Macaca mulatta: one gene and its partners. The protein of the gene in region 2 binds, or shares a complex with, the protein of the main gene of each other region. Links are inferred from orthologs where the notes say so. Each region holds a gene or a part of one and is shown on either strand. Other genes may lie near its edges.

The links.
Region 1: SNRPD2 (region 2) and PRPF3 share a complex: the UniProt entries of both Homo sapiens proteins name them as parts of the U4/U6-U5 tri-snRNP complex. The link is inferred for Macaca mulatta from reciprocal best matches to the Homo sapiens genes SNRPD2 and PRPF3.
Region 3: SNRPD2 (region 2) and PRPF6 share a complex: the UniProt entries of both Homo sapiens proteins name them as parts of the U4/U6-U5 tri-snRNP complex. The link is inferred for Macaca mulatta from reciprocal best matches to the Homo sapiens genes SNRPD2 and PRPF6.
Region 4: SNRPD2 (region 2) and LSM2 share a complex: the UniProt entries of both Homo sapiens proteins name them as parts of the U4/U6-U5 tri-snRNP complex. The link is inferred for Macaca mulatta from reciprocal best matches to the Homo sapiens genes SNRPD2 and LSM2.
Region 5: SNRPD2 (region 2) and RNF113A share a complex: the UniProt entries of both Homo sapiens proteins name them as parts of the minor spliceosome. The link is inferred for Macaca mulatta from reciprocal best matches to the Homo sapiens genes SNRPD2 and RNF113A.
Region 6: SNRPD2 (region 2) and TXNL4A share a complex: the UniProt entries of both Homo sapiens proteins name them as parts of the U4/U6-U5 tri-snRNP complex. The link is inferred for Macaca mulatta from reciprocal best matches to the Homo sapiens genes SNRPD2 and TXNL4A.
Region 7: SNRPD2 (region 2) and PRPF8 share a complex: the UniProt entries of both Homo sapiens proteins name them as parts of the U4/U6-U5 tri-snRNP complex. The link is inferred for Macaca mulatta from reciprocal best matches to the Homo sapiens genes SNRPD2 and PRPF8.

What each region holds. Positions count from the first base shown.
Region 1 is NC_133406.1:116,799,243-116,802,742, forward strand, and holds part of PRPF3 (U4/U6 small nuclear ribonucleoprotein Prp3), read right to left. Parts: intron 2,971-3,500; coding exon 2,664-2,970; intron 47-2,663; coding exon 1-46. UniProt on the Homo sapiens protein: Plays a role in pre-mRNA splicing as component of the U4/U6-U5 tri-snRNP complex that is involved in spliceosome assembly, and as component of the precatalytic spliceosome (spliceosome B complex).
Region 2 is NC_133424.1:58,224,554-58,226,607, forward strand, and holds the end of SNRPD2 (small nuclear ribonucleoprotein Sm D2), read right to left. Parts: intron 1,753-2,054; exon of another isoform or gene 1,618-1,752; coding exon 1,438-1,617; intron 802-1,437; coding exon of another isoform or gene 776-801; coding exon 601-775; 3' UTR 501-600; downstream 1-500. UniProt on the Homo sapiens protein: Plays a role in pre-mRNA splicing as a core component of the spliceosomal U1, U2, U4 and U5 small nuclear ribonucleoproteins (snRNPs), the building blocks of the spliceosome.
Region 3 is NC_133415.1:116,916,315-116,919,814, reverse strand, and holds part of PRPF6 (pre-mRNA-processing factor 6), read right to left. Parts: intron 3,267-3,500; coding exon 3,175-3,266; intron 2,137-3,174; coding exon 2,022-2,136; intron 1-2,021. UniProt on the Homo sapiens protein: Involved in pre-mRNA splicing as component of the U4/U6-U5 tri-snRNP complex, one of the building blocks of the spliceosome.
Region 4 is NC_133409.1:150,509,289-150,513,464, reverse strand, and holds the start of LSM2 (U6 snRNA-associated Sm-like protein LSm2), read right to left. Parts: upstream 2,801-4,176; 5' UTR 2,591-2,800; coding exon 2,588-2,590; intron 1,979-2,587; coding exon 1,911-1,978; intron 1-1,910. UniProt on the Homo sapiens protein: Plays a role in pre-mRNA splicing as component of the U4/U6-U5 tri-snRNP complex that is involved in spliceosome assembly, and as component of the precatalytic spliceosome (spliceosome B complex).
Region 5 is NC_133426.1:126,364,799-126,368,021, forward strand, and holds RNF113A (E3 ubiquitin-protein ligase RNF113A), read right to left. Parts: upstream 1,858-3,223; 5' UTR 1,643-1,857; coding exon 608-1,642; 3' UTR 501-607; downstream 1-500. UniProt on the Homo sapiens protein: Required for pre-mRNA splicing as component of the spliceosome. As a component of the minor spliceosome, involved in the splicing of U12-type introns in pre-mRNAs. E3 ubiquitin-protein ligase that catalyzes the transfer of ubiquitin onto target proteins.
Region 6 is NC_133423.1:1,023,969-1,028,093, reverse strand, and holds the start of TXNL4A (thioredoxin-like protein 4A), read right to left. Parts: upstream 2,801-4,125; 5' UTR 2,747-2,800; coding exon 2,594-2,746; intron 1,098-2,593; exon of another isoform or gene 985-1,097; coding exon of another isoform or gene 949-984; intron 1-948. UniProt on the Homo sapiens protein: Plays a role in pre-mRNA splicing as component of the U5 snRNP and U4/U6-U5 tri-snRNP complexes that are involved in spliceosome assembly, and as component of the precatalytic spliceosome (spliceosome B complex).
Region 7 is NC_133421.1:3,240,491-3,244,534, reverse strand, and holds the start of PRPF8 (pre-mRNA-processing-splicing factor 8), read left to right. Parts: upstream 1-1,244; 5' UTR 1,245-1,316; intron 1,317-1,515; 5' UTR 1,516-1,526; coding exon 1,527-1,626; intron 1,627-2,386; coding exon 2,387-2,555; intron 2,556-3,826; coding exon 3,827-3,991; intron 3,992-4,044. UniProt on the Homo sapiens protein: Plays a role in pre-mRNA splicing as core component of precatalytic, catalytic and postcatalytic spliceosomal complexes, both of the predominant U2-type spliceosome and the minor U12-type spliceosome.

The DNA of each region.
Region 1 (3,500 bases), on a different chromosome or scaffold from region 2:
TTCGAGCTGCTTGTGAAATCTCTGCCTGTAGCTTCTCCAGTTGAGCCTAAAAACAAGATAATCCAAGACAGAAAGATAAATTGGAATCATAGAAAACAGAATTTGTAGAATCTCAATTTTTTTTTTTTCTTTGAGATGGAGTTTCGTTCTGTTGCCCAGGCTGGAGTACAATGGCATGGTCTTGGCTAACAGCAACCTCTGCCTCCCAGGTTCAAGCCATTCTCCTGCCTAAGCCTCTGGAGTAGCTGGGATTACAGGCATGCGCCCCCAACTCCAGCTAATTTTGTATTTTTAGTAGAGATGGGGTTTCTCCATGTTGGTCAGCCTGGTCTCAAACTCCCGACCTCAGGTGATCTGCCTGCCTCGGCCTCCCAAAGTGCTGGGATTACAGGCATGAGCCACTGTGCGGGGCCAGATTCCCAATTTTTTTTTTTTTTTTTGAGACGGAGTCTCGTTCTGTCACACAGGCTGGAGTGCAGTGGCGCCATCTTGGCTCACTGTAAGCTCCACCTCCCAGGTTCACGCCATTCTCCTGCCTCAGCCTCCCGAGTAGCTGGGACTACAGGCATCTGCCATCACGCCTGGCTAATTATTTTGTATTTTTAGTAGAGTAGGAGTTTCACCGTGTTAGCCAGGATGGTCTCAATTTCCTGACCTCGTGATCCGCCCACCTCGGCCTCCCAAAGTGCTGGGATTATAGGCATGAGTCATGACGCCTGGCCAATAATCCCAAATTTTAAAACATTTCCCCTTTGAACTCTTTACACCTAATGCAACAAATTCATTCTGAAAGTTTAGAAAGGAGTTGTTCTGCTTTATTTTATCCTTTATTTAGTTCATTTACATAGATCCTCACCTTCACCCTCTCCCTTCACTCCACAGTATATGCCTGCAGTAAATACACAGAAATAGAATTTTATGAAAACCTCACTGAGAGGATAAAAAGAAGGCAAAGGTCATTCAATATACAATCAATTCAACTCTCCAGGTGTACTTTCTGCAGGAAATTTTAACTCCAGGCAAGTCTTCCTCAGTCAGTCAGAGTGTTTCAAATTGTTTCCCTCCACTTAGTTGTATGTGGAGAATTTTCAAACTCAATTGAGTATTTCCACTTATGTAGAAACTAATTAGGAAGTAAAATCTGTTTAAAACTTTTTTTTTGAGACGGAGTTTCGCTCTTTCGCTCAGGCAGGAGTGTAGTAGCGCGATCTCGGCTCACTGCAACCTCCACCTTCCAATTGCAAGTGATTCTCCTGCCTCAGCCTCCTAAGTAGTTAGGATTACAGGTGCCCGCCACCACGCTCGGCTAATTTTTGTATTTTTAGTAGAGATGGGGTTTCACCATGTCGGGCAGGCTGGTCTCGAACACCTGACCTTGTGATACACCCACCTCGGCCTCCCAAAGCGCTGGGATTATAGGCTTGAGCCACCTCGTCCTGCATATTTTCAAATTATTCATTGCTTTAAATCAGGGGTCCCCAACCCACCAGTCTGTGGCCTTTTAGGAACTGGGCTGTACAGCAGGAGGTGAGCAGGAGGCAAACCAACAAAGTTTCATCTGTACTTACAATTGCTCCCTATTACCTGCATTATGGTCTGAGCTCCACCTCCTGTCAGATCCGCGGTGGCATTAGATTCTCATAGGAGAGTGAACCCTATTGTGAACTGCACATGCCAGGGGGCTGTGTTGCACATTCCTTATGAGAATCTAATGCCTGATGATCTGTCACTGTCTCCTATCACACCCAGATGGGACCGTCTCGGCAGGAAAACAAACTCAAGGCTCCCAATGATTTTAGACTATGGTGAGTTATATAATTATTTCATCATATATTAAAATAGAATAATAATAGAAGTCAGCACAGTGGCTCACGCCTGTAATCCCAGCACTTTGGGAGGTCAAGGCAGGCAGACTACAAGGTCAGGAGTTTAAGACCAGCCGGGCCAACACAGTGAAACCCTGTCTCTACTAAAAATACAAAAAATTAGTCAGGCATGGTGGCGCACGCCTGTAGTCCCAGCTACTCAGGAGGCTGAAGCAGGAGAATGGCTTGAACCCAGGAAGTGGAGGCTGCAGTGAGCTGAGATTGCACCACTGCACTCCAGCCCAGGTAACAGTGCAAGACTCTGTCCCCGCTCCCCTGCCAAAAAAAGGCGGGTGTGGTGGCTCACGCCTGTAATCCCAGCACTTTGGGAGGACAAGGTGGGCAGATCACCTGACGTCAGGAGTTCAAGACCAGCCTGACTAACATGGAGAAATCCCATCTCTACCAAAAATACACAATTAGTCAGGCGTGGTTGTGCATGCCTGTAATTCCAGCTACTCGAGGAGAATCACTTGAACCTGAGAGGCAGAGGTTGCAGTAAGCCGAGATCATGCCATTGCACTCCAGCCTGGGCAACAAGAGCAAAACTCCATCTCAAAAATAATAATAATGATAAAGTACACAATAAAGGTAATGTTCTTAAACCATCACAAAACCATCCTTACTCCAGGGGAAAAATTGTCTTCCATGAAATGAGTCCTTGATGCCAAAAAGGTTGAGGACTGCTGCTTTAAATGACCTATTTATCTAATTTCCTAGAACATAGAGATTTTACAATGTTTTCCTTTCAGCTTCTTAACTTTTTCTAAATTCTGTGTTATACTATAAGCCAGATACCTTTGTCCGTAATCGCTGAGCAATCTTCTCAAATTTGCCCTTGTCGTGGAATTTAAAAGTGCGTCTCTGGCGCTGGGAAGGGGCAATGGAGACTCGGGGGTCAAAAAAGGTATTGGATTCCATGTCTTCTGATGGCTTTTCTTTTAGTTGCTGCTTGAATTGTTCCCTCTTCACAGCACGAATATTGGCTTTCAGAGTAGGCATGCGGTGTGTCAGCTCAATCTCCTTGCCTGTTGCATCTACAGTGCGCCCTTGCTCATCCAGGATCAGTGGTGTAGGTTTCGTTTGGTCTTTTAACTCCACCTTCCTGAAAAATAGCCCGCAAAGAAATAAATCCTGTATGGAACATTAAGGCAAACAAAAAAACAAACAAAATAAAGCCAGGTGTGGTGGCTCAAGACTAGAACCACAGCATTTTGGGAGGCCAAGGCAGAGGGATCACTTGAGCCCAGGAGTTAGAGACCAATCTGGGCAACACAAGGCGATCCCATCTCAACAAAAAATTTAAAATTAGCTGGGTGTGGTGGCATATACTTTTGGTCCCAGCTACTCAGGAGGTTGAGAAGGGTCACTTGAGCCCAGAAGTTGAGGGTGCAGTGCCTTCTCCATAAGAGTTATTGGATGGACGGGCGTGGTGGCTCACACTGTAATCCCAGCACTTTGGGAGGCTGAGGCAGGTGGATCGCTTGAGCCCAGGAGTTCGAGACCAGCCTTGGCAACATAGTGCAACCCCATCTCTACAAAAAATACAAAATTTAGATGGGCACCTGTAGTCCCAGCTACTTTGGAGGCTAAGGCAGAATTCCTTGAACCCAAGAAGTGGAGGTTGCAGGGAGC
Region 2 (2,054 bases):
TCCACCCGCCTTGGCCTCCCAAAGTGCTGGGATTACAGGCGTGAGCCACTGCGCCTGGCCAATCTTTGTATTTTTAGTAGAGACAGCATTTCACCATGTTGGCCAGGCTGGTCTTGAATTCCCGATGTCAGGTGATTTGCCCGCCTCAGCCTCCCAAACTACTGGGATTACAGGCGTGAGCCACCATGCCTGGCCCCAAAAGATATTTTGGTCAAGCGAGGCCAATTCATTTTAAGAGGCAGAGAAGAGAGCAACAGAGTGACAAGGCGAAGCTCAGAAAGATTAAAGCAGGAGAACTAAAATATTCTCCAGTGCCACAACTGGGTGCTCATTTCCATCCAACCTGTTTGCTTTGCGGAGGGGGAAAGTGAGGCCTCGATGGGGCAGAGCCAGGGCCTCTCCACTTGCTCACGGGTCCTGGTCCCAGCATTCAATTTGATATTAGCTGCCTCCCCCAAGCCCTCCTGAATCCACCCCACTCACAAGGCTCTGGGAACACATACCACTAGAAAAAAACCACAGAGCTTTATTATTCTCAACACCAATGGCAATGGTCTTCATAGGACGAGAGAGTGAGTTCTGTCGATGGATAGGCAGCCCCTACTTGCCGGCGATGAGCGGGTTCCGCAGGACCACGATGACCGAGTCCCCACGCAGGAACATCTTGGAGATGTAGCGGTCTTTGTTGACTGGCTTGGATTTCTTCTTGCCCTTGCCGCTCTTAGGGACCTCAGTCCACATCTCCTTCACGTTCTCCAGCACCATGTTGCAGTGCCTGGTGGGGAACAGGGAGGGGAGGCACTGGGTGTGAGGGGGGTGCCTCTGACAGCGCTGCCTGCTGCTCGCCCCCTCCAGCAGCATGGCTTGGGGAAGGATGCAGGTGCTAGGCTGGATGACCAAGCTGCCAAGGCCAATTCTGCCAGTCCTTAGGTTGAGGCTGAGGCAAAGGACTGCACCTCTCTGTGCCAGTTTGTTCATCTTTAAGAGGGAAGACAATCACAGTACCTTCCTCACAAGGTCGTTGAATATTATCTTTTTTTTTCTTTTTTTTTTTTGAGACAGAGTGTCGCTCTGTTGCCCAGGCTGGAGTGCAGTGGTGCGATTTCAGCTCGCCGCAACCTCTGCCTCCTGGGTTCAGGCAATTCTCGTGCCTCGGCCTCCTGAGTAGCTGTGAATACAGGTGTGCACCACCACGCCCGGTTTTTATATTTTTAATAGAGATGCCGTTTCACCATGTTAGCCAGGCTAGTCTCGAACTCCTGACCTCAGGTGATCCACCCGCCTTGGCCTCCCAAAGTGCTGGAATTACAGGCATGAGCCACCACCCTGGGCCATACACCCCAGGCGTCTGAGAAACCTGTCTTTGAGCTCTTCAGACTGGAGCTAGGGCAGCCTCTCTAGGCCTGCACAGAACACCTCCCAGGACCCAGCACTCACCTATCGAAGGCCTTCACACGGCCCAGGAGTTTCTTATTGTTGCGACAGTTGATGAGCACTTGGGTGTTGTTCTTGACTGACTGAGTGAGCACAGAGAGTGGACCCGTGTTAAATTCCTCCTCCTCTCGCTTCTGCAGCTCCTCTGGGGTCATCTCACTCTTGGGCTTGTTGAGGAGGCTCCTGCATGGATAAACATGGAACCCACAAGTGAGAGAGGCTGGAGCTGTGAGGATGGGTGGTCAGGGCCTCAGCCTCAATGTCTCCCCAGCCTTGTCCCATCACATCCGTCCTGTTTGGCCTTCTGAGTATCACCAGCTGGATGCCTAACAGACATTTTCTTTTTCTTTTCTTTTTTTTTTTTTTTTGAGACAGAGTCTTGCTCTGTTGCCAGGCTAGAGTGCAGAGGCACGATCTCAGCTCACTGCAACCTCTGCCTCCTGGGTTCAAGCGATTCTCCTGCCTCAGCCTCCTGAGTAGCTGGGACTACAGGCGCGCGCCACCTCCACGCCCAGCTAATTTTTGTATTTTTAGTAGACAGTGGGTTTCACCACGTTGGCCAGGATGGTCTTGATTTCCTGACCTCGTGATCCACCCGCCTCGACCTCCCGAAGTGCTGA
Region 3 (3,500 bases), on a different chromosome or scaffold from region 2:
AGGAGATGAAACTAAACCTGACACAAAATTAAACTACAACTTTGATGAGGGAAAGTTACACAGTTTCAGCTCCTCACTGAGACACCTGCTGGATCATCCTGCCCCGCCTGGCCTCCAGCAGCAACCCCAGTGAACACTGAGAAGATGGACTTCGGGCAGCACCAGGGCCTGGGCCTGCGGCCCACAGCTCTCAGGCCACAGGATTGATACCACCGTGCCTGCCAGACACATGGACACCTGAAAACCAGGCCTGAAGAGGTCCATGCTGGACTATCAGAGGCCAGGTTGGGGGTGTGCATGGCACCCCCCCAAACTGCTGGAGAAAGGATGGCGGGCACTGCTGCTGGGCACGCTGGCAGGCCTGGGACTCTGCGTTGCTGCCACCCTTCCCACCCTCTCCTCGGGGTCACCTCCCCCTAGAGCCAGAGGCACTGCAGTCAAGAGACGACACGAGGAACCCTCCACTCCAGGCAGCTGTTTGGGTTCGTCTCAGTTGCCAAACGGAATAATTTCACACTCTGATAACCTGATTGTTTTTTAAGCCTTGTGGTATTCTTAATTGCCCAGTGTTAGATAAACTGTGATTTAAGGAGCACAAACCCAGATAGCAGGCACACAAAACACTGGCTTGGGAATAGCAAGGAGTGACTTATTTACTTTAGCAAAGCCTTTTATAAGGTTTTATGGCTGCACTATCAGAGTGTCACCCAGAAGTCACTCTGGGAGGTGGACGCACAGGGGAGGACCAAGGGAGCACCAGGCAGACACAAGCCACCCTGTGGGGAGCCTCTCTCATCTGTCAGGGGCCCGCGGGCAGGGGAGAGGAGGTGCCCCTACAGGCAGGCCTACGGGGGCAGCACCCAGACCTCTGGAGACCAAGCACCACTGCCACCCAGTGCTGGGGAGAAGGGATGGAGAGAATCAAGAGCCAGCACTAGGAAGGCTGTTGTCTCTGCATGACCCATGGCAGGGCAGGTGGAGGGGAAGCCGGGCACGTAAGGTGAGGCCCCTCGCCGCTGGGGTCAGACACACCACCTCCGCCAGGTGAGCCCATGTCCTGAGCTGCAGCCTCAGGAGTCCAGGGTTCTTCTAAGAACTCCCTTCACCCCTACATGGTCACTTCCCAGCCTCCTGATGCACACTCAGGCCCAGCTCCTTCTCAGACTGTCATCCTCTTTCTAGAAGGAAACAGAGACCCTGTGGGTTGGGGATGGCCCCGAGCTCCCTGCTGTGCCCCGCACGTGGCAGGCCTTTGCCCACATGTGCCTAGAATCTGCACGCTCTGCCCCACGGCTCCAAGCAGCTGCCTTCGAGGTTTCAGAGTCATGTCCCCAGCGAGTCTCTGACCCAGCGGCCAGCACACCCGAGTGTGAATCACATGGTGTGAGGTCACTCACGGATCTCTGCCTCCCCTTCACACCACGTCTTCTGAGACAGCCTCCAGCAGTCATCGTGGCACCCCTGGGCACACAAATTAGGCTCCAGTCTCCAGCTCTGGATTATTTACGGGCCACAGAGCTGCAAGTGATTTCTTGCCCCAACATAAAGCCTCTTGTCCAAAGGGGCTTCGCTTACCACTTAAAATTCTGTGTGAACCAACATCAGCAAATCTATCCTGTAACCCAGGCCTGTGTAGGTGTAAACTAAAAAATTGCAGAGACGAAGAGAGCAGCCTCCTAGAAGAAGCCGGAACAGAGGAAGGGCTGAACCACACCCAGGGGATCCCTGGGGAGGGAGGGAAGGAGAGAGAAACAGAAAAAAGAGAGAGAGAGAGAGAGAGACTGGCTGTCCCTCCCCAGGGCTTTGGGACAGAAGCCCACAATGCTGCAGCACCCTCAGGTTTGTCTCTGCCGGGAGAGGCGCCTGCCCCGGACCACAGCAGGAGTGACAGCAGCCGAGGATCGGGGGAGCGCACCCTGCCGCCGGGCATCTTTACAATGACCAGGGAGAGGCAGACAGACTGGAAAAAGAGCCCATGAGGACCCCAAGGGTCAGCAATCCTGTGGGGACGCCTCACTCACTTGGCCACGGCCAGGAGCACATGAGGGTCATGCTCACACTTCTTCAGGGCATCCACGCTCTTGGTCCTCCTCTGGGGCCTCGCCTCGAGGAAGATGGCCTCAGACCACAGGATACCTGCAATTCAGAAACAAAGAACAAAGATCTGCACTCCAGCCTCTGGTTCCGGAAAGGTGCCCAGCCTACAGAGATTCTAACCCAGGACGTCCTCAGACGGTGACGGGGCCTCCCACACACTGCTTGCAGAACTTGTGCAAGAACCACGAAGGATGAGTGTTCTGGCCCACCCAAAACCATGGCAGCCCCAAGGGCACAGACAGGACACTCTGCAGAGTTTCACTCTGTCGTTCAGGCTGGAGTGCAATGGCGCGATCTTGGCTCACTGCAACCTCCCACTCCCAGGCTCAAGCAATTCTCCTGCCTCAGTCTCCCAAGTAGCTGGAATTACAGGCGTGCGCCACCATGCCCAGCTCATTTGTGTATCGTAGTAGAGACGGGGTTTCACCATGTTGGCCAGGCTGGTCTCAAACTCCTGACCTCAGGTGATCCACCCGCCTCGGACTCCCAAAGTGCTGGGATGACAGGCGTGAGCCACCGCTCCTGACGGATTTATTTGTTTTTTGAGACAGGGTTTCACTCCTGTGGTCCAGGCTGGAGGGCAGTGGTGTGATCTCGGCTCACTGCACCCTCTGTTTCCCAGGTTCAAGTGATTCTCGTGCCTCAGTCTCCCAAGTAGCTAGGATTACAGGCACGTGCCACTGTGCCTGGCTACTTTCTGTATTTTTTATAGAGACGGGGTTTCACTATGTTGCCCAGGCTGGTCTCAAGCGACGGACTCCTGGACTCAAGCGATCCTCCCGCCTCAGCCTCCCAAAATGCTGAGATTACAGGCGTGAGCCACCACACCTGGCCAATTTCTTTTAATTTTAAAAGAAAAAGAAATGATAACACTTCAGAACATGAAATCAAATTCTCCCATTTTGAGGCCAGGAATTTCATTAAAATGTCTTAATGGCCAAGTATAGCTGAAACTTTTGACTGAAATGATTCACACAAACAAAACATTTTAATAAAGTCTGTCGGAAGCCTGAGTCCCCACTCCCTGAGGAAGCGCCAGCCCTGTTGAGTCTGGGAAGCCAGAAAGCACCCCCTTACCAGAGTTAGGGCACTCCTGCAGCGCCTTGGCCATGAGCGTATTTGCGATGTTCTTCAGCCCTGCACGGTACTCCAGCCGCACGGACTCCAGCCTGAGGAGACAGGCCCCGGGAGCTCCCACAGCCATCTACCAATGGCGCATATTCTGGAAGCTTCTGGGAAGCCTTGTCTGAAAAGGCTCCCCACCCAGTCACAGCAGCAAGAACTCCATTCCCTGCACAGCACAGCTCACCCACCACAGAAGCAAGGCACTGCCGCCCACATCCCTGCCAGCCCCACTGGCAACCGCCCCAAGGGCAACACCTCAGAAACTGACGCTGTCCAGA
Region 4 (4,176 bases), on a different chromosome or scaffold from region 2:
TTCCTCATATGTATAACAGCAATAGTACATATTACTAAGGAGTGTTTGAGAAATCAATCAATAAATGTATTCAGAATAGTGCTTAGTCAATAGGTCTTCAGATATTATTTTTCTTTCCTTAAGCACCTATCATACAACTGGCCTATACTAGGTATTAGATACACAGTAGCATATCTAATACGTAGGTTTCACCATGTTGGCCAGGCTGGTCTCAATCTCTTGACCTTGTGATCCACCCACCTCAGCCTCCCAAAGTGCTGGGATTACAGGCATGAGCCACCATGCCCAGCCTATGGCCTGTTCTGTTTTTTTGTTTATTTTTTTGAGATGGAGTCTCGCTCTGGTCGCCCAGGCTGGAGTGCAGTGGTGCCATCTTGGCTCACTGCAAGCTCCACCTCCTGGGTTCATGCCATTCTCCTGCCTCAGCCTCCCAAGTAGCTGGAACTACAGGCGCCCGCCACCACACCAGGCTAATTTTTTGTATTTTTAGTAGAGATGGGGTTTCACCATGTTAGGCAGGATGGTCTCAATCTCCTGACCTCGTGATCCGCCCACCTCGGCCTCCGAAAGTGCTGGGATTACAGGCGTGAGCCACTGCGCCTGGCCTGGCCTGTTCTTTTTTGAGACAGTCTTCCTCTGTCACCCAGGCTGGAGTAAAGTGGTACAATCATGGCTCACTGCAGCCTCGACCTCCTGGGTTCAAGTGATCCTCCCACCTCAGTCTCCCGAATAGCTGGGACTACAGGCATGTAAACCACATCTGGCTAATCTTTTATAGAAATGGTTCTATGTTGCCCAGGCTAGTCTCGACATCCTGGACTCAAGTGATCCTCCTGCCTCAGCCTCCCAAAGTGCTGAGATTACAGGTGTGAGCCACCATGGCCAGCCTAGTACTTACTCTTTATTTATTTTTTTTGAGACAGAGTCTCACTCTGTCACCCAGGCTGGAGTGCAGTGGTGTAATCTCAGCTCACTGCAACCTCTGCCACCCAGGTTCAAGCGATTTTCCTGCCTCAGCCTCCCAAGTAGCTGGGATTACAGGCACCTGCCACCATGCCTGGCTAATTTTTGTATTTTTAGTAGAGACGGGGTTTCACCATCTTGGCCAGACTGGTCTTGAACTCCTGACCTCGTGATTCACCCACCTCGGCCTCCCAAAGTGCTGGGATTACAGGCATGAGCCACACGTCCAGCCCATGAGCCACCACACCTGACCAGTATTTACTCTTTAAACTGTATATTGCTTTGTATTGTTTTCCAATACACAATACAATCCCCAAGCTTATCTGTAAATTTAAGGCACAAGGCATTTATTTATTGTTAAATTTTAAAATTTGTCTTAGAGATGGGGTCTTGCTCTATTGCCCTGGCTAGAGTGCAATGGAGTAATCACTGCTCACTGCAGCCTCAAACTCCTGGGCTCAAGCAATCCTCCCTCCTCAGTCTCCCAAAGTGCTCGGATTACAGGCGTGAGCCACTGCACCCCACCCATTTATTTCTTTTGTTTGTTTGAGACAGAGCCTCGCTCTGTCACCCAGGCTGGAGTGCAGTGGCGTGATCTGGGCTCACTGCAAGCTCTGCCTCCCAGGTTCACGCCATTCTCCTGCCTCAGCCTCCAAAGTAGCTGGGACTACAGGGGCCTGCCACCATGCCTGGCTAATTTTTTGTATTTTTAGTAGAGACAGGGTTTCACCGTGTTAGCCAGGATGGTCTTGATCTCCTGACCTCGTGATCCGCCCACCTCAGCCTCCCAAAGTGCTGAGATTACAGGCGTGAGCCACCGCACCCGGCCATTTATTTCTTCTGTACATATTCCACCTCACCCAGCCCTCAAATATTTCTCAAATTAAAGAGGTTCCAGGGCCCTGGGCACACCCACCCCCAACAGACTTGTTGGAACAGGTACCTACCTCAGGTCATTCTTGAGTTCCACGACCACATCCTTGCCCACAAGGGACTTGAAAAAAGAATAGAAGAGCTATTGGGAGAGAGGGGGAAAACCATCATGTGGGAAGGAACATGGTAGGGAGGAGTGTCCCTTGACAGTATTACCAAATACCGGTATTGTGAACCCCATTGCATCCCTAACAGTTCTCAAAATTTCACAGGAAAGAATAATTGGTTGAGAGGTGAAAGGCTGGAGCCCAAATTATTCTGCACACTGCATTGAGCCCATCACTTAAAGTCCCAGAGAGGCTCTGCCCTGCATACCTCGGCCTCCCCAGTGTGCTCTCTCAATCGACCACCTTTCTCGGGTACCTGCCCACTCCTTTCAATGAATTACAGAAAACATCCCACCCGCACCCTGCCGAAGCTTGCCTGGCAGAGAAGTGCTCTAAGGTCTAACTTTTCCGTCTCCCGCTGTCCCCACTGAATCTCTCTCAGGGTTGGGGTTTTTTTCCTCATCATGGAAAAAAAAAATCCCATTTGCTCTCAGGTGTCTCCTCAACGAACTTGAGGAACAGGACTAACGATGAAGATAAAAACTCCGGACCTAACTCCAGCCTAGGGGGACAAAGGCCAGACCCCCCTGCCCCAACCGTCCGAGATCCCCGAGGGCGACCCCTTTTGACGTCACGGTACCCACCATGGTGCTGGCGCAGCGGGCAGCGGGCCGGAGCGAGAAAAGAGCCGGATGCTGAGACCAGGTCTGGGAGAACCGAAGCGCGAGCCCGCGCGTGGGGCGAGGCGGGACCGCGCAGGCGCAGCGGGAAGGGACGCAGAACCCTCCAAGCGCTGAAGGGTAAAGCGCGGCCGACTTGCGGCTGGGGAGCGCAAGCTGGGTAAAACCGAGGGGAGGAGGAAGCCGGGAAAGGGGCGGGGTTTCCTTCGTTCCGACTTCTTCCAGGGCCGGCCGGCTCCCATTGCGCAGGCGCGGACCCTAGCCTGGGCTGCTAGGCGGGTGGAGGCACTCGGCGTCTGAGCTCAAAAGGTTTTGTTTTCCATAACCCTGCCGTCCACAGCGTGATGTGTTCGTGCCCTCTACACACATCCTATCGAGAATTGTGGGGAGTTTGTGAAGATTATGAAGTGTGCACTTTTCTATATTTGTTAAAGTAAAAACATAAAATTCAAAAAATAAAATTAAAAAATGTTTTTAATCTTAAATTCAGCTGATAAAAAAAAAAAAGGCCGAGGGCGGTGGCTCACGCCTTCAATCCCAGCACTCTGAGAGGCCAAGGTGGATGGATTGTGTGAGGTCAGGAGTTCGAGACCAGGCTAGCCAACATGGTGAAGTCCCGTCTTCACTAAAAATACAAAAAAAATTAGCCAGGCGTGGTCGCGGGCGCCTGTAATCCCAGCTACTCGGGAGGCTGAGGAAGGAGAATTGCGTGAACCCGGGAGGTGGAGGTTGCAGGGAGCCAAGATCATGCCACTGCACTGCAGCCTGGGCGACAGAGCGAGACTCGTCTCAAAAAAAAAAAAAAAATTGGCCGGGCGCGGTGGCTCACGCCTGTAATCCCAGCACTTTGGGAGGCCGAGACGGGCGGATCACGAGGTCAGGAGATCGAGACCATCCTGGCTAACACGGTGAAACCCCGTCTCTACTAAAAAATACAAAAAACTAGCCGGGCGAGGTGGCGGGTGCCTGTAGTCCCAGCTACTCGGGAGGCTGAGGCAGGAGAATGGCGTGAACCCGGGAGGCGGAGCTTGCAGTGAGCTGAGATCCGGCCACCGCACTCCAGCCTGGGTGACAGAGAGAGACTCCGTCTTAAAAAAAAAAAAAAAAAAAAAAATTGACCGGGCGCAGTGGCTGACGCCTATAATCCCGCACTTTGGGAGGCCAAGGCAAATGGATCACCTGAGGTCAGGAGTTCTAGACCAGCCTGGCCAACATGGCGAAATCCTGTCTCTACTAAAAACCCAAAAATTAGCCAGGTGTGGTGGCACGCGCCTGTAAACCCGGGAGGTATAAGTTGCAGTGAGTGGAGATCGTGCCATTGTACTCCAGCCTGGGCAACAACAGTGAAACTCTTGTCTCAAAACAACAACAACAACAAAATGTTGAGGCTTGTAAATCCCAGCATTTTGGGAGGCTGAGGCAGGAGGATCATTTGAACCCAAGAGTTACAGTGAGCTACGATCTCCCCACTGCATTCCAGCCTGGGCAAGACTCTGTCTATAAAAAAGAAAATTATAAAAAACAAAAAAATGTTGAGGAGTCCCAGAGATAAG
Region 5 (3,223 bases), on a different chromosome or scaffold from region 2:
AGGGGAATCGCTTGAACCCGGGAGGCGGAGGTTGCAGTGAGCTGAGATAGCGCCATTGCACTCCAGCCTGGACAACAGAGCGAGACTCCGTCTCAAAAATAAATAAATAAATAAATAAATAAATAAATAACCCAGACAGCAAGGAACATTTCCCATATGTGAAGCCTGTGGTACTAGCTACCAATTCCCCAAACGCAACCCCTCTCCCCAACACCTTGGCTCCGGTATATTTTGTAGTACAGGCTCCCAAGAGAAAGAATGCATGAAAGTACTTTGTAAACCATTAAGTGATACAGAAATGTGATATGATAAACAGGCTCAGAGTTCTTACTTTCGTCATAGCTTTGGCTACTTCAAGCAAATTATAGCTCTTTTCTCAAACTACTCCCACCCCTATAATTGATGCCAAAATGTTCTGAAAAGAAACACAGGCAAAATGGTTATCCTAGGGCTAAAAATCCTGATTATACCTACCTTGAGGTTTTTAATCCAGGACCCTACTTCACCACCCGCCTTCTCTGTCACTGTCTCTACAAAGGAAGGACACGAATTAAGACTTCCAAAAGAACAAAATATTTATTTTTTAAATTTAAGAATTATCAGACAGCTAAGTAACGGGAATTGGATCCTCATCGGGGTCTTCTGGCAAGTCGGAAGCACCACCACCCTCTCCTGTAGCTCGATGCTTCTCTAGTTTAGCAATCAATTCTTTCGCTGGATTGAAGACGCCATTGGTCTGCTGGTCACAGACATAGCAGCGCGGGGTGGTGCGGAAATGCTGCAGTGCACAGCTCTCGCAGAAATAATGCCTGCACTTGGTGACAACTGGGTTTTGGAAGCTCTGGCGACAGATGAAACACTTGAATGGTATTTCCTCATCATCGCTTCCCACTTCATAGTTTTCATCCTCATAGACACCATAGCGACCCTCATCAAGCTCACGTTCGATCTGCCACCCATGCTTGTAATCTGAACGGTCATGGAGGAATTTGCAGCTGTCTCCGAAGCCGCAGAAGCCAGTCTCTTTGTAGTCCTTACAGATGTCGGGCTGGTAATCCCAGCGCACCGTGGCACGTAGATGCTCGGGCGCTCGGATGGGGCCCTTCCTCACCATCCCGGAAGAGGCATTGCCCATAGACGTATCCTTGGGCTTCATGTATTTCTGATAATTGTTGATTCCCCGATAGATCTTGTCATCCTCCTTGCCCCTCAGCTCCTCCTGGATCTTCTGGCTGCGCTCAAAGATGGCTTGTGCATCGCGCTCTTTCTCTGTGTCCAGCTCATAGACAGCTGTCGCCCCCATATCCTCTGGTCCCACGGGTTTCGCCGAGCGGGTGGATTTATAAACCACGCCGAGACTCTCGGGCTCATTTTCCTCCTCCTCCTCGCTGCTCAAGTCGCCGTAAGCTGCCTTCTGTTTACCACTGTCACGAGTCTTCTGTATCATTGGATTGTGAGTCGCCCGCTTCTTTTCCGGTCGAACCACAGTGCAGCCTTCGTCGCTACTGCTGCCGCTGTCTCCGGGCTCTGGGTCGCAGGCCGGGCGCTTTCTGCGTCCAGCAGCCCCTTTCCGCCCAGGCTTTTTGAAAAGGAAGGTGCACACCTGATCCGCCGTCTTCCCTGGAGAAAACTGCTCTGCCATTTTAGAGTCCCGAGCTCCGAAACGGCCGTCGCTGCCTGGGTTGCACTTGGCCTCTGCGCGTTACTCCACGTCGCGCGCTCCGCCGGGAGTCGAAGCAAAAGACACTGACGGAAGAGAACTGCGAGAGCGCGAGCGCCAGCCTCTCTTGAGCCCTGGCAGATCCCGTCGCTTCCTCCGGAGCCGTACGTGGCACCGCCCCGCTCGCGGGCGGCCGCGGGGCTTACTGGGAAGGGAGCCGAAGCCCGGTCACCTTTCAAGGACCCAGAAGTAGGGTTTTGGCCTAGATAACGGGGCAGAGATGTGGTTCGAGATTCTCCCCGGACTCGCCGCCATGGGCGTGTGCTTGTTTATTCCAGGACTGGCTACTGCGTACATCCAGAGGTTCACTAACGGGGGCAAGGTAAGGCGGCTTCCTGGGCCCGGGGGCTGACTCCACTGGCTGATTTCTGAAAAGGATGGTGGGCAGAGAGTCCGTCAGCCTGCGGACCCTCTCTCCGAGGCCGGCCCTCTATTTTCTTCCGGTTGCCTAGAAGCCGAGGCTTGCGAAACGAAGCGCGGTAGAAACCACATCCTGCTCTGGTGAAAAACAGCGTTTCTGGGTGTATCAAAGTGGGCCTTAGGGCAGAGTAGCGACGCGGGGGCCGGAAAGGTAGATTAGAAGAGGTGGCTCAAGCCTGAGAATCCCTCACTGCAACCTCCGCCTTCCGGGTTCAAGAGATTCTCCTGGCTGGGCGCGGTGGCTCACGCCTGTAATCCCAGCACTTTGGGAGACCGAGGCGGGCGGATCACCTGAGGTCGGGAGTTCGATACCAGCCTGACCAACATGGGGAAACCCCATCTCTACTAAAAATACAAAATTAGTGGAGCGTGGTGGCGCATGCCTGTGATCCCAGCTACTCGGGAGGCTGAGGCAGGAGAATCGCTTGAACCCAGGAGGCGGAGGTTGCAGTGAGCCGAGATCGCGACACTGCACTCCAGCCTGGGCAACAAGGGCGAAACTCCGTCTCAAAAAAAAAAAAAAAAAAAAAAAAAGATTTTCCTGCCTCACCCTCCTGAGTAGCCGGGACCACGCCCGGCTATTTATTTATTTATTTTGGTAGAGACGGGGTTTCATCATGTTGGCGAGGCTGGTCCCGAACTTCTGACCTCAGGTGATCCACCCGCCTTGACCTCCCAAAGTGCTGGGATTACAGGCGTGAGCCGCCGCTCCCGGCCACCCTTGACTTTTTTATTCCCCACTTTCTCTTGCAAGCGTTTAGGAATTTACTGCAAGGTCTTGTGTTTTACATCAGGATTCATTTTCCCCTCTTAGCCCTTCACATCATCTCTAGAGTACAGAGTATAAATTTATTTACTTTTTGAATTTGTGATTGTCCACGTGTGATCTACAGCTGTTGTTTCTTAGTGTCCCAAAAGGCAACAACTAGATATTTCTTTTTTTTTTCTTTTTTTTAAAAAGGAAAAGAAATTCATGTTGGTTAAAATAGTGTAAGAAGTCACGGTCACCAACTTAATCCTAAAGTGTAGTGGTCTGATTTTATTTAGGAGATTCTGTTCTTGTACTACTAATTTGCATTTTTA
Region 6 (4,125 bases), on a different chromosome or scaffold from region 2:
TGTTTCCAGACTAACTTTCTTCCTGAAGTTCACAGCTCAGCTCTAACCCAGCATGAGGCCAGTGGGCCTTGTGGAAGCAGCAGATCAATACAACACATCCAGGAAAAAATCGTATCAAGTCCAGCCGAACATCTGCAACTGTTACTCACTTTAAAACAGCTGGGACATCGACAGGACTCTTAACAAGATAAGGAAGATTCTCCATTATCTGCCATTTCTGCACAGGGAAATTTTTAAATAGTTATATTGTTCTTTATACTAAAATCTTACATTTCAAAAATTTCTGTTGAGTTTCCCCAAAAGAGCTTCCAGAATTAGAAAGTCATATTTTGCCCATATACTAAGAAGAAAATAAAACACGAATAGTCTTTTAATGCATTTCAGGTTTGCACTTATTTTTGGAGACAGGGTCTCACTCCTGTTGCCCAGGCTGGAGTTCAGTGGTATAATCATGGCTCACTGCAGCCTTGACTTCCCGGGCTCAGGTGATTCTCCCACCTCAGCCTCCCAAGTAGCTGGGACTACAGGCATGTGCCACCACGTCTGGCATTTGTACTTTTAGTAGAGAACGGGTTTCACCATATTGTCCAGGCTGGTCTCGAATTCCTGGGCTCAAGTGATCTGCCTACACTAGCCTCCCAACCAAAGTGCTGGGATTACAGATATGAACCACCGTGCCTGGCCTAGGTTTGCGCTTTTAATAATTATACTATAATATTTGCATTAAAAGTTTATTAATAAAGCAATCCAAATTTTTGGACAGAAACAAAAATCAAACTATTTTAAAAGACCAAAAAAAAAAAAAAAATACCCCAAAGTGAGCCCATTTCAACTGTCCTTAAGTGTGTGTCCACTAGTGATACAGTGATTCATTCTGTAATAACAAAGAAATCGGACATAAAGGAATTGGAAAAAAAGAGCAAATCTGGCAAAGACCCTAACACTTACATTAACACATAAAATCTGTTTCCTAGCTAAGAGCATCTTGCTGAGCTCTGCCTGGATGTGATGAGACAAAGGCCCTCACATCGCCAGCCATCCTAGCCTCGAGCTGCCGGCAGCAGGATCTGAACACCAGCTGATGTTTATGCCACCACCTGCAAGGTAGAACAGTGAAAGATTCTAGAACTCGTAACTCAAAGTCAGTGATTTACAAGCAGTGATTTACTTATTGGGAAACTGCTCTTCGTCAATTCTTCGCTGGATTTCCAGTATCTGCCCTTGTCCACTACAAGTCAAGCAATGAAAAGCTGATGTGCTGGCACTGCCTCACTCATCATCTCTAATCCCTGGCTGGCAGAAGCCCCAGTGTGAGAGAACTGCTGCTCTCCTGATTCCCTAGGCAGCTCCTCAAGTCCTCAGTGTCCTGCTGTCCAAGAGGAAGAGGCTGGGAGATGGCTGGTAATAAAGCACTCCGCCTCTGTCCCTGACCCCCATGGAAGGGTTTCTGAGTGTGTGGTTCAAGGTCAGGTCACATCAGAATTCCCTGAGGGGCTTCTTTAAAAAGCCATTGCTGGACTTCACCCCACACCCATAGACTCAGAATCACAGATGCATTTTAGTAAGCACTCCAAGAGATTCTTGTAATAACTAAAATATAACAACAGTTCCTAACATCACACCTCTCCTACTAAATAAGAAATAGCAAGAATTAATAAATGGCAGGCCAGACAGTCTTTCCTTTCCTCAATATAAAATGTCTTTATATCTGTTACTCTTTACTCAAAGGAGTTATTTTAACCCAGCCTACTTTAGCATCTGTGAAAGAAAAGATAGCTTCAATGTTACTTTTACTCTTCATCAAAATGAATAACCGCTCAAATTACTTACGGAAAATTAATATGGCAAATATTTTATTAACACCCTAGTATTTGTGCCCTTTGCCCTATTGCTACAGCTGCAAAACCTAAATAAACGCCATCCTAAAATTGCTGTGAGGAACCACAGAAAAAGAATGAAACCTGGTTATAGTGTCCCACAACTTTTATTGTCAGCAAGTAAGTGCCAAGGCCACTCAATGTACTAATATTAGAAATTCAGAAAACTAGTTCCAACAAAGCATAGTTCTATTTTCTCCCGATGTTTTCTGCATCTTAATCACTCTAAGCTATAAATCACATGACTTACAAAAAGCGCGGTGGAAGAAAACACCAACAGAAAAACAGGATTTCTTATGCTATTAACATGAAAGTTCTGCTTTACACATACAACAAACAAACAGGGCACCAGAAAAGGGCATCCTTTTAAATTAAGGATCTGCGCTCTCAAAACCTGCAAGTGTTACTTTGTTCACTGCACTGTAAGATTGGGAAAAACGCCTTACCAACAGAAATAATGAATTCCTTCGAGGGGAGGGGGATCATAAACCCTTTAAAACGTGAACAACTACAGGAGCTCCCTGCAGAAAAAGGCGCGAAACGCCGGCACAGTCCCCGAGAGCGCTCGCCCGCAGCGCGGGAAGGAATCGCCCGGACAACCGCGCCGCGGCCCCTCCTCGGGGAACGGCTCGCGCCCCCAGGCGAGGCCGGCGGGGCAGAGGCGCGGGGCCGCTGCGGAAGCACAGCCAGCAGGGCGGGAGGGCCCGGCGCGCTACCTTCTCGGCGATGCTGTATAGGACCTCGTCCATCTTCATGCAGGTGGGGTCCCAGTCGTGGCCGAAGCGGATGACGACCACGCGGTCCTCCTCGGAGAGAATGGCCTGGTCCACCTGCCAGCCGTTGTGCAGGTGCGGGAGCATGTACGACATGGCGACCCGCGCGCTCGCCGCCGCCCGAGGCCGGGCGCCAGGGAGGGCCCAGCGAGGTGGTGGGCTCAGCCGGCCCCTCACTCCGCGGCCCCCGCCGCCCCCGGGCCCACAGCCGAAACCCGGTCCCACCCACACCCGCAAGCTCCGCTGGCACTGCCGCCGGGCGGAACCTCTGGGCGCGCACGCACCGACGCCGTGCGTGCTGACGTCATGCGCACGGGCTGGCGCCGTGCGTGCTGACGTCACGCGCGTACAGACGCCGCGCTAGCTTGTCGTTGGCCGGCGGGAGCGGCGGCGACCTGGCCACGGTGGAGCGCGGTTGGTGCCCTCCTAGCCGGCGTCGGAGTGGGGGTTCCTCCCCAGCGTCCAGGCGGCCTGGTGGTCCTGAGAAGCCCCGGGCTCGCCGTGCCCTGCCCCGACGCACCCGCCCCGAGGCCGCCCGCCGCCGCCCGGGCTGTCCTCCAGCCACGGATGGGGACGTCTTCAGAAAGGCCCGGCATGCCCGGCACTGCGGCTCGTTTTTTTCCTTTCTGGTGTCTGTTTCGGGTCATCGTTTGTGCTGTGTGTTAGCGAGACGGTTCGTGTGTGTCATTTGTGAAACTTGACCATAAAAATGTGTCGTTGTTGCCATACCCAGCCACGGCAGAGCCGAGCAGCGGGGTGGGGGGAAGCACTGGGCAGGCCGTCCTTGAGGAATGTCACCGTCAGGCCGGCTGCTGAGCTGCCTGTTGTAACCCGAAACCAGAGTTTTTGTCTTTTTATAAAGAAAAAAAATTTTTTTTGAGACGTTGTCTCGTTCTGTCGCGCAGGCTGGAGTGCAGTGGCGTGATCTCGGCCCACTGCAGCCCCCGCCTCCCGGGTTCAAGCGCTTCTCCTGCCTCAGCCTCCCCGTAAGCTGGGACTACAGGCGCCAGCCCGGCTAGTTTTTTTGTACTTAGTAGAGACGGGGTTTAACCATGTTGGCCAGGCTGGTTTCGAACCCCTGACCTCAAGTGATCCGCCCGCTTCGGCCTCCCAAAGCGCTGAAATTACTGGAGGAAGCCACCGCGCCCGACCTGAAGCCAGTTTTATTGCATAGCTTCAGCATAACTTGCACCTCCAGGACTGATCTGGCTCCCCCGGCTTCGCTCCCCAGACCCTTACTGGTGCCTATGAACTTTCTCCAAGAGAAATAATATTTCTCTTTTTAAAATAAAACCTCTAATCTCTGTTCTTCTGAGAGAGCACTTTGGGTTCATGTTAGAGACTCCCCCTGGTTTGCAAACTGACATTGACAGTAAAACTCTTGTCTACTATCCAGCCATCCTGGTGGTCCTTTGGATGACAAATTGACAACAAATCATGCCCGGGCGCGGTGGCTCAGGCCTGTAATCCCGGCA
Region 7 (4,044 bases), on a different chromosome or scaffold from region 2:
GACATCCTTTGCATTTTTTTTTCTAATTATTTCACTTTGATTTGTAAATTCTCAACTAGATTGAGGGGCTGTATGGGTTACAATTCCTCTGCATCCTCCCCAATAAACTTGGTGGGAATTTCAGACTTTTTGTTTGTTTGTTTTTTCCGAGACGGAGTCTCGCTCTGTAACCCAGGCTGGAGTTCAGTGGCGCGATCTCGGCTCACTGCAACCTCCGCCTCCCGGGTTCAAGCGATTCTCCTGTCTCAGCCTCCCGAGTAGCTGGAACTACAGGTGCATGCCACCACGCCCAGCTAATTTTTGTACTTTTAGTAGAGACGCGGTTTCACCATGTTGGCCAGGCTGGCCTTGGACTCCTGGCCTTAAGCGATCCGCCCGCCTCAACCTCCCAAAAGGCTGCGATTCCAGGCGTGAGCTACCGCCCCCCCCCCCCCCCAATGAGCTTGATTCTTTCTGCTCCCCTGTGAACCCTACTGGTTGTCTTTTTTCCTGCTTTATCCCTCGTCCTCGGTAGACAGTGGGCACTCAATAAAGAATGGTTAAATGAATGAATGCGGCCGGGCGCGGTGGCTCAAGCCTGTAATCCCAGCACTTTGGGAGGCCGAGACGGGCGGATCACGAGGTCAGGAGATCGAGACCATCCTGGCTAACACGGTGAAACCCCGTCTCTACTAAAAAATACAAAAAACTAGCCGGGCGAGGCGGCGGGCGCCTGTAGTCCCAGCTACTTGGGAGGCTGAGGCAGGAGAATGGCGTGAACCCGGGAGGCGGAGCTTGCAGTGAGCTGAGATCCGGCCACTGCACTCCAGCCTGGGCGACAGAGTGAGACTCCGTCTCAAAAAAAAAAAAAAAAAAAAAAAAAAAAAAAAAAGAATGAATGCATGAACAAATGACCGTCCTGGAGCTAGTACTGCATTGCACGTATACATTGATGACAACAGACATCGTACAATGCGCAATCTTGGCAAATTTATTAAAAGCTTCCAGACTTCGGTCTCTCGCAGGGCGACGCCGGGAGCCTATCACACACTGAGGTCTGTCGGGGGCCTCAGGAACAGCCTCGGAAACGTGGGAGGCGGGGCTTCCCCGACCACACCCCCTTGTATTCAAAGCCTTTCCGCCTGTGGGCCCGCCTCCTCGGCGCAGTGTGCCACTCTAATTGGCCATCTTACCAATCCATCTGAGCACCTCGGCGCCGATTGGATCAACTGCTGAAGTCGGGTTGCGCACTTTCCGGCGCTGGGAACGCGGAGCGGACGCACACTGGCCGCCATTGCGCTCCGGAGAAAGCGGCCCCCTGTGTGAGGGGTTGTGGGGTGCGTGGCAGGCGTTTAAGGCCGGGCTGCGGGAGGCGTGGTCGGGTCGGGCTGAGTGACCGAAGGGGTTAGGCCGGGCGGGGCTGGATGCACTCAGTGTGGCGGGATTGCAGGCCCGGGTCCCCGGACGCCTTTCTGCTGCGCTTCTTGTGGGCCCGGGCCTGTGGTTAGTGAATTTTTCTGTCCCGCCGCTGTCCAGATTCTCCGGGTATGGCCGGAGTATTTCCTTACCGAGGGCCGGGTAACCCGGTGCCCGGCCCTCTAGCCCCGCTACCGGACTACATGTCGGAGGAGAAGCTGCAGGAGAAAGGTGAGTCGAGTGTGGAGCGGCGCGCGAGCCGGAGGCGGGGCGGGTGTTCGCGCGCGCAGGTGGCTGGGGACCCTCCCCGTTTGGGCAGCTCCCGAGGTGACAACTCCCTTGTTAGCCCCATTTAACTTTTTATCAAGTCATTTTAAGCGCGTGTTATCTGCAAGCGCTGATCCAGTAGTGATGGAGACAAAATTCCTGTCCTTACGGGGTTTAAATTACAGCGGGAGAGAAAGACAGTAACAAAACCTTGAGGATCTGTAATAAAAATGTCAGGCCGGGCGCAGTGGCTCACACCTGTGATCCCAGCACTTTGGGAGACCCAGGCGGGCGGATCACCTGAGGTCAGGAGTTCGAGACCAGCCTGGCCAACATTGTGAAACCCCATCTCTACTAAAAATACAAAAATTAGTCGTGTGTGGTGGCGCGTGTCTATAATCCCAGCTACTGGGGAGGCTGAGGCAGGAGAATGGCTTGAACCCGGGAGGCGGAGGTTGTAGTGAGCCGAGATCGCTCCATTGCCCTCCAACCTGGGTAACAGAGCAAAACAACGTCTCAAAAAAAAAAAAAAAAAAGTCAGATAGTAATAAATGTGATGAAGGGAAAAACATAGTAAAGTGGTAAGGGAATTGGCAAGGAGTGTTGCTTCCTGCTGGATGCCTGCTCCTCTGTCACACTCACTGACAGGAGCTTACCCTAGGGCAAGAGGTGAAGAGGATTAGGCTGAGGGTGTGCAGTCCTTTAAACTGAGGTGCCTTTGTAGCCCGAAAATGGCAGCAATTGCAGGCGAAGCGCTATGCAGAAAAGCGGAAGTTTGGGTTTGTGGATGCCCAGAAGGAAGACATGCCCCCGGAACATGTCAGGAAGATCATTCGAGACCATGGAGACATGACCAACAGAAAGTTCCGCCATGACAAAAGGGTTTACTTGGGGTAAGGAACATCCTGAAATAACTTCATTTGGAATTTGGTTCTTTTCCCTTTTCCCTGTCCCACAGTCTTGGATAGATGCTCTGTCATTTTGGAACAGGACGCTGCTTTGACAGCTCATCTTGGTGGATATAAGAGAAAGGAGAAAACCAGTAGGAGTCTCTGATAATTTCTACATCTTCCACTTACGCAGTCTGTTTCCCTTCTGTTCCTGATCTGGGCCTGGGACTTTAATTTGTCCTGTTGATGCTGTTATAAGATATCCCTGTCGTTGAGCTGTTTGAAGCCCAGAGTGGGAGACTGTGCATAGTGGCAGCCTGTCACTCCTCAGGGACCTGAATTCTGTGTTTAGGGTATTTAATTTCAGAGGTATCCCTACTGCTGTTTTTCTGTGGCTGTAAACTGGGTGGGTACAGGTACAGATGTCTTAGCAGATTCCTGCTCTATTTGGACACAAAAACGTTTGCCGTGTAATGAACTGGAAGTTTTGTTTATTTCAAAAAATAGTTTGAGAACTGTGCTGGCTGCTTGGGGTATAGTAGCGAGCAGAGGGTAACAATCTCCGCCTTTCTGCAGTGTGCAGTCTAGTGGCATGACAGACATGAGACAACTGGTGATAGTGAAGTATGGTGAATACTTTATTATGATTTATGAGAAGATACTGAGGGAATAGGATGTGAGACAGCCGCAAAGCTGTCTCCAGAGGGACAGCTGTTGATTTAGAGGAGCTGATACCAGCATTGTGGGACTATGACATTTAAGAAGAGTGCTGAGGCTGGGCGCGGTGGCTCAAGCCTGTAATCCCAGCACTTTGGGAGGCCGAGACGGGCGGATCACGAGGTCAGGAGATCAAGACCATCCTGGCTAACACGGTGAAACCCCGTCTCTACTAAAAAATACAAAAAAAAAAAACTAGCCGGGCGAGGTGGCAGGCGCCTGTAGTCCCAGCTACTCGGGAGGCTGAGGCAGGAGAATGGTGTAAACTCGGGCGGCGGAGCTTGCAGTGAGCTGAGATCCGGCCACTGCACTCCAGCTTGGGCGACAGAGCGAGACTCCGTCTCAAAAAAAAAAAAAAAAAAAGAAGAGTGCTGCAAGATGAAGTTGTAGAGGGAGAGGCAGGGTTTCTGGTTAGGAAGGGCCTATGGGCTAAGTCTGGGAGTTTGGATTGTAAGGTAGGATTTACTGTGGAACATGAACGTGTGGCTTCTCTGCATGGGACAGGTAGCAGAACACCTCGTCATTTCTAATAGCCTTCTCTTTTTCTAATGTGCCAGTGCCCTAAAGTACATGCCCCACGCAGTCCTCAAACTCCTGGAGAACATGCCTATGCCTTGGGAGCAGATTCGGGATGTGCCTGTGCTGTACCACATCACTGGAGCCATTTCCTTCGTCAATGAGATTCCCTGGGTTATTGAACCTGTCTACATCTCCCAGTGGGGGTGAGAAAGGCTGAAATATGGTGGGCAGTGGTGGTGGTGGTTGGGGGCAGTGG